Linked DNA regions of Mus musculus. The protein of the gene in region 1 purifies or fractionates together with the protein of each later gene. This does not show direct contact. Links are inferred from orthologs where the notes say so. Each region holds a gene or a part of one and is shown in the gene's direction. Other genes may lie near its edges. The genes, in order: Stk25 and Slmap.

The links.
Region 2: the proteins of Stk25 (region 1) and Slmap purify together in Homo sapiens (affinity purification with mass spectrometry; 5 studies listed by BioGRID and IntAct, with this or other methods). This does not show direct contact. The link is inferred for Mus musculus from reciprocal best matches to the Homo sapiens genes STK25 and SLMAP.

Annotation. Positions count from the first base shown.
Region 1 is NC_000067.6:93,625,580-93,629,398, reverse strand, and holds part of Stk25 (serine/threonine-protein kinase 25), read left to right. Parts: intron 1-134; coding exon 135-365; intron 366-1,688; coding exon 1,689-1,745; intron 1,746-2,265; coding exon 2,266-2,374; intron 2,375-3,190; coding exon 3,191-3,348; intron 3,349-3,432; coding exon 3,433-3,618; intron 3,619-3,753; exon of another isoform or gene 3,754-3,792; coding exon 3,793-3,819. UniProt on the Homo sapiens protein: Oxidant stress-activated serine/threonine kinase that may play a role in the response to environmental stress.
Region 2 is NC_000080.6:26,461,412-26,465,230, reverse strand, and holds part of Slmap (sarcolemmal membrane-associated protein), read left to right. Parts: coding exon 1-30; intron 31-1,514; coding exon 1,515-1,655; intron 1,656-2,832; coding exon 2,833-2,970; intron 2,971-3,819. UniProt on the Homo sapiens protein: Associates with the striatin-interacting phosphatase and kinase (STRIPAK) core complex, forming the extended (SIKE1:SLMAP)STRIPAK complex.

The DNA of each region.
Region 1 (3,819 bases):
AATTGAGGTGATTTCCCTTCAGTTCCTTACAGTGGGTCATGCCCTCAGTCAGCAGGGCAGTATCTGTCTAGTATTTTCTCTAATGGCTGTTGTCCATGCAGTGTCCCAACATTCTTCTCTATTGGCTTCTATAGCATTCTCGTGTGGACCCAGAGGAACTCTTCACCAAGCTTGACCGCATTGGCAAAGGCTCATTTGGGGAGGTGTACAAGGGGATCGACAACCACACCAAGGAAGTGGTGGCCATCAAGATCATTGACTTGGAAGAGGCCGAGGATGAAATTGAGGACATCCAACAGGAGATCACTGTGCTCAGCCAATGTGACAGTCCTTATATCACCCGCTACTTCGGCTCCTACCTGAAGGTGCCTACAAGAAGGAGGGATCTGTAGTGGTTGGGGATGGAGCATTCTGAAGGTTCTGTGCCAGGCTTTCTCTTTTGTTTCCAGAGGGATTAATATGTGTCCAAGGATAGGAGAGAGAAGAGAAGGTGACAGCTGTGGGCACATGGGAATCCCTCTGGAAGGGCAGAGAGGCCCACCCTTCCAAATATCTCAGCTTCACAAAAACAGCCTATTCTCTTGAGAAGTGCCAGTCCTCAGTAGGCTCTAAAATGTCTGTCAGTACTGTTAGGCACAGTCTAAGGGGCCCCTGAAGGCAGTCAGTACTTTTAGGGACTGCCTGGAGGGCACTTGAGCAGAGTGTAGAGAGTACAGAGAAGACTCATCTACTGCTTTGAGCAATTGGCCTGTCCACCAGGTGCCTGTAGCAGAGGTATGGTAGCTGGGTGGTCAGAGAGGCCTTTTCTCCATTCCTCCCCCTGGACAGAGTCTGTGTAGACCAGGGTGGCCTTGAACTCACAAGAGATATGCCTGCCTCTATCTCCCAAGTATAGGAATAAGGTGTATGCCACCGCTTCTTGCATTCCTTTTTTGTTTTGTTTTTGGTGGTTTGTTACTGTTTTTTGAGACAGGGTCTCACTGTGTAATTCTGTTTTTGTTTGTTTGTTTGTTTTTGTTTTTCTAGACAGGGTTTCTCTGTGTAGCCCTTGCTGTCCTGGAACTCAATCTGTAGACCAGGCTGGCCTCAGAAATCCACCTGCCTCTGCCTCTGCCTCCCAAGTGCTGGGATTAAAGGTGTGTGCCACCACTGCCCAGCTCACTGTGTAATTCTGTTTGTCCATTTACTATATGGACCAGGCTGGCCTTAAACTCACAGATACCCACCTGCCTCTTCCACCATGCCTGGCTTGGTCCTCCTTTTAATTTGTTAATACTAATTTTTTTGTTATTATTTTTACCTGTCTGTGCTGGGTGGGGGTATGTCTACAATTAGTCTGTGCGTGTGTCTGCGGAGGCCAGAAAGGGTATTGGGTTCTTCTGGTATGGGGGCTACAGGCCTTTGTGAGCTACCTGATATGGGTGTTGGGAGTTGAACACAAGTCTCATGTCCCCCAATTTGGCCTTGAACTTCTGATCCTTCCAAGTGTTGGGATATAAGCATTCACTACCTTGCCCGGCTAGAACCCTATCTTACTTGGCAGGAACTTGCCTGGTATAGTTGCTGTATGGGCTAAGCCCCTAGCTGACTACTTTTGGAGGAGTTAGAGGGGGTGGCTTGTGGAGTCCCCGCTTGGATATTCCTGCTGCATTTCCTGCCCAGGCACTGACAGGTTTCTCTGCTCCCAGAGCACCAAGCTGTGGATTATCATGGAGTACCTGGGTGGTGGCTCTGCACTGGACTTGGTAAGTTCAGACTCGAGCAGTGAGCGGCTTGCTCTTGAGGCTTGTCTTTCAGTGGCCCAGGAACCACTGCCCTGCACACTTTTAGGCTTGTGGCCTTTCTCAGGCTACCTATCACAGTTCTGTATGTTAACAGGAATTGTTAGTTTCAAAACAAATCACTGTTCATCTTGCTCTAGTTGATGCTAAAAGAAGTCTTGGGCCTCTACTGGGCTAGGGGAATAGGCACAGTTAGAGCCCCCAGACAAATAAGAGTGTCAGGTCCTTGGTTAACCTATTCCCATCTTTATAGTCACAGAAAAGATTAAAGCAACTCTTAAGTTTTCTGAAAACAGCTGTCACCCCCATTTCTCCTTACTTCCCCCATTATCCTTGACATCTGAAACTATAGGAACTAAGGAACATAAAGGCCCCCAGGCTTCTTTTGCAGGACTCAGAAGTTGGTGGGTGGTGCTGTTCAGGTGCTGTGGAGGTATGGGTGTGGTAGCTGCAATTGAAGTTCTTCCTGTCTGTGCTCCTGCAGCTGAAACCTGGTCCCCTGGAAGAGACCTATATTGCCACCATCTTGCGGGAGATCCTGAAAGGCCTGGATTATCTGCACTCAGAGCGCAAGATCCACCGAGATATCAAAGGTCCTGCGGGGTGGGCTTGGATGCAGTTCTGCCCATGACCTAGAAAGAGATGGGCATGTGGAGCCTAGTAGATTGTGGTGCCTGAGGGCATGGGATGTGGGGAACGCTTCTGCCACCTGGAAACTGGGGAATTGGGGGGGGGGGGTTGTCCATTTTACTTTTTATCCCCATTTTTAATGGCCACACTGAGGGTAGAGCCTAGGGGATTATGCATTCTAAGCAAACATTCTGCAACTGAGCTACTTTGCCAGCCTAGAAAAAACCTTAATCTCACATCTCCTAATCTTTGATTTCATATATGTGAAGGAAACCAGTTGTGTACTAGTACAAAGCAGGAGCAGTGTGTGGATTCAGATGTGGATTTGTGCAACACTTCTGTGTGGTCCAGTCCTGATGAGGACTCACAAAGTTGGGCCAGCCCACCATGAATGACTTAGTGAGGATAGCTGAGCCTTATGTCACAGGGTGGAATCCTATAGGCAGAGTGATAGATGCCCTGACGAGCCATTCCAGCTGTACAATTCAGTTAGGGTCACTATGATTATATGTGAGGTGTCACTATTGTTGGTGCTTGTCAGAAAACACAAACATGCCAGGCCCTGGAACAAAGGTAGGAATGTTCCTGTAGGTCCCCCAGATTGCCTGCCCTTGCCAGCAGTGGCCAATGTCCAGGAAAACTAAGTTCCCAAGACATATCTGCTGCTGTCCCTAGGGGCCAGAGGATACCATCCCATCACTAGTCAGGGAGTTGCATGCAGGGTTATTTTGGGGGGCTGTGGAGCCAAGGATGATGCCCACCTATCCTGTATTGAGCAGCTGCCAACGTGCTGCTCTCGGAGCAGGGTGATGTGAAGCTGGCAGACTTCGGTGTGGCTGGGCAGCTCACAGACACACAAATCAAGAGGAACACATTTGTGGGTACACCCTTCTGGATGGCACCTGAGGTTATCAAGCAGTCGGCCTATGACTTCAAGGTGAGTTCTGGATGGGAGGTGAGAGTATACTGCCACCACTCAAAATGTTTCACGTAGCAACTGTCCTGTGTGATAACTCTCTAGGCTGACATCTGGTCCCTGGGCATCACAGCCATTGAGCTGGCCAAGGGGGAGCCGCCAAACTCTGATCTCCACCCTATGCGAGTCCTGTTCCTGATTCCCAAGAACAACCCACCCACATTGGAGGGCCACCACAGCAAACCCTTCAAGGAGTTTGTAGAGGCCTGCCTCAATAAGGACCCACGATTCGTAAGGCCTATATCCACTTGGGCCACCCCAGGCAGCTGAGGGGTTTGGGGAAGTTTATGAAGGGAGGATGTAAACTTGGTGGGACAGGGCCCAGCCTTCACATCCTTACCTGTCCTTCCTTGTGTCTTTTGTGAGGGTGGAATTCAGCTCTGACTTTGTCTGTCTCCCTGGCAGCGACCCACTGCCAAGGAGCTCCTGAAG
Region 2 (3,819 bases), on another chromosome or scaffold:
ATGGGAAACCAGTTGCAGGCATGCTCCAAAGTAGGTATTTAATCTCGGGTACACAGAGAAGAATTCATGGTGTTTTCTGTAGTTTCAGGTCTCTGTTATTTGAGTTTATGTTAAAACATTTATATAGTCCACAATTCTTTCACATCTTTGTCGCAAAAAAATTCAAGTATACATATAAGTGGGAAGAATTGTGTGATGCATACCTGTGCTCAATTCTGATTTCTTTTTCTATTACAATTGATTGATATTCATTGACGAAGTGATTTGCCTTCTGGAATGTGACTTGATTTAAACTTGGTTTATATAAATGTTTATTGAAACATTTTTCTGAGCCGGTGTGGTGGCGCACGCCTTTTATCCGAGCACTCAGGAAGCAGAGGCAGGTGGATTTCTGAGTTTGAGGCCAGCCTGGTCTACAAAGTGAGTTCCAAGACAGCCAGGACTATACAGAGAAACCCTATCTTCAAAAACCAAAAAAAAAAAAAAAAAAAAAAAAGAAAAAAAGAAAAAGAAAGAAAGAAAGCAAGCAAGCAAGCATTTTTCTGGTTCTTTGGCATGAAGTAGTAGATAATTGGTCTGGTCAGAGGTTATGATACTTGTTTCACCTGTCCACTCACCATGGATGGTTTTGTTCTTCAATCAAAGACATAATCGCAGATGGCTCTCCTTTTAAGATGTTACCATTCATTGATGACTCTTCACGAGGTTCATTATTTCATTAAGGATATTTAACATAGTAATGCAATTCTGCCATTTCTTCATTTACTTCTTCAGAGAGAATTCTTCCTTCATGAACCATCTTATTACTCTGAAGTATATTTTCTACAGAAAAAAAAACAAAACAAAACAAGTCTCCCCCAATTATTTACTAGATTAAAACAGAATAAACTGTTTTTTGGGTTTTTTTTTTTTGTTGTTTTAATCCAGCAGCAAATGACAATGTAGTGCTTTCTCTCTTGCTTAGATTGAAGTACATTTTGGTGTGTTTAAGTCTATACTAGTAGTTATCTTTGTGGATGATCAAATCAGTCTGAGTTTTCTGTGAGTAAATGCTTTGAGGTTGGCTCTCTGGCTCTCTCTCACCTGCTTTAATGGCTCCAGCCGACTGCGAGCCTGGAGGCCCTGTGCTCACCTGCACAGTTTTTGTTCCAACCCTGGACTTTCCTTTTTCCTCACGAAGCTCTTACTGCTTCCGTTTGGGGCAAATGAAATTATGAGCAATGATTTTTGCTTATAACTGAAACTATGATAGCTTCTACAGAATACGAGTAATTAATCTTAATATTTGAGATAAACTATTTGCCTTTAGCTCATTTCTATTGAAATTAGTGTAATTTCTGAAGTATAAGTTACTACTGCAACTTTGAAATACACATTTAGTTAATAGTAGGCCAACATTTGTATTTGTGGGTACCGTGACATTATAATTTTGAGTATTTTAATGAGTTTCTTTCAAAGGATAAACAGTTTTCACAGAAAAGTGACTTGGGTGTGATGTGAGTGTCTTATCCTAGAATCAAACAGAAGACAGTTTACGGAAGGAGCTGATTGCACTGCAGGAGGATAAACACAGCTATGAAACCACAGCCAAAGAGTCCCTGAGGCGGGTTCTTCAGGAGAAAATCGAAGTGGTTAGAAAACTTTCAGAAGTTGAGGTATTTCACTTTTACTGCCATTGTTTTTAAAGATTTGTTTTACTTTTAAAATTATGTCTATGTGAAGTAAGTGTGGGTATTGTGTGCTAGTGAACGTGTCTGCAGAAGGCTGAGGCCTCGAATCCACTGGACCTGGAATTATAGGCAGTTTTCACCCATCTGATGTGGATGCTGGGAACTGAGCTATCATTGCCTGGTCTGGAGTTAGAGCAGGTTGGCCCCTGGACTACTTTTGTCTTCCAAGTGGTGGAATTAAAGACTTGCTGGCACCATGTCTGGTGGGAATTGATCTTTTGTCACATAATTGACGATGGTCACATAAGGCTGAGACGTTACTACTTCAGCCATCCTCTAGAGCAGTGGCTCTCAGCCTTCCTAGTGCTCAGGCCTTTAATACAGTTCCTCATGTGTGCTGACCTGACTCCCAACCATAAGGTTATTTTTGTTGCTACTCCGTAACTGTAGTTTTGCTACTGTTAATTCTAATGTGAGCACCCATATTTTTGGATGGTCTTAGGCACCCTATGAGATTGTTCTGCCCACAGAAGTTAATACCTACTGCTTTAGGGTGGCACTTTATCTTAGGCTTTACAAGTTAATATTGTCCAGGTTCTATGAAAAATCAAAGTGTGATTCTTGTGACTGAGGATCTAGCTCAGTGGGCATGTGCTTAGCATGTGTGAGGACATGGATAATGGATAGTTTGTATTATGGTCTCATTCTATAACACGTGCTTTATGTTCATTGATGTTTGATTAATCTGACATACACACAAAGTTTCAGGTGTCTTTCTGTTTTCACATTAGATGAATTGTTATATGGTTTTATTCTTACTTTAAGGATTGTTGACTTAGAGGTTGAGTGCGATAGAGTGTACTTATAATCACCGCACTTGGGAGTCTAAGGCAGGAGATTCACAGGAGATTAGGCTAGCCTGTACTTCATAGTGAACTTGAAGCCAGCTTGAGTAACATAATATTGTTAAGAGTTACGTTTTAGTATATATGTTGCTGAAATTATTTTGTCTTTTAAATCAGCTTTTTATAAATTTAATCCAAATGTTGATGTAGACTAGTTCAGAACTACACTTTTTACAAATTGAAAATAAAATTGAACGATAAATTTAAAATAAGTACCCATTTACTCTAACTGAATTCCCTGTGAACTTGCCTTGCAGCGAAGTCTGAGTAATACTGAAGATGAATGTACCCACCTGAAAGAGATGAATGAGCGCACTCAGGAAGAGTTGAGAGAATTAGCCAATAAATATAATGGAGCAGTTAATGAAATTAAAGATTTATCTGATAAATTAAAGGTATGTATACTAGTTCCTTTTGTGTTGCTGTGGTAGGATACCATGAACAGAATACTTTATAGAAGGAAGAGGTTACTTGGGCTTGGGGTTCCAGAGGAGCCTTTCACCATCATGGCGAGGAAGTGTGGCAGCAGTCATCTATGGCAGCTGGAGCTGGAAGCTTAGAGATCACTGGGAATGGCTTGAGCCTCTGAAACATCCAAGTCTATACCCTGTGACATATTCCTCCCACAAAGGCACACTTCTTAGACCTACCCAAACAGCATTACCAACTGAGTACCAAGTGTTCAGACATGTGACCTGTGAGGGACATTCTTAATCCAGCCATCACAGCTTCTATGTCAACCACTAGACGCATGTTAGCGTCACTAACGTGCTAATCGCTTAAGACGTTTATTAGTCACTCAAGAGCTGGTGATGTAAAATTGGGTAAAATTAAAAAGTTGAAACTGATAGTGAAAATAGAAAATGTATTCTATTTAGTCTATCCTCTATTATTGTTGAAATTGAAAGCCTTTAAAGTAGACATACTTCTAGATGGAAATGTAGTCAGCACTTCATAACAGCAGATGTAGTGTTTGCTTCAGCATCCCATAGACTAAGAAAAGAACAGCATTTTCTAATATACACTTGGAAGGAGAAACAAATCAATATGCTATGAAATGATGAGATAGCTCAGTGTGGGTACTAAAACCGGTTATAGAATCCATGGTGGAGGACGGAAAGTCCTCAGAGTTGTCCTCTGACCTCCACTTGAGGGCCATGGTACCCATGCACTAGAACTTAGGCATGTGTAACACTCGTGTACATACACACATACGTAGACACACAGACATGCAAGCGCACACA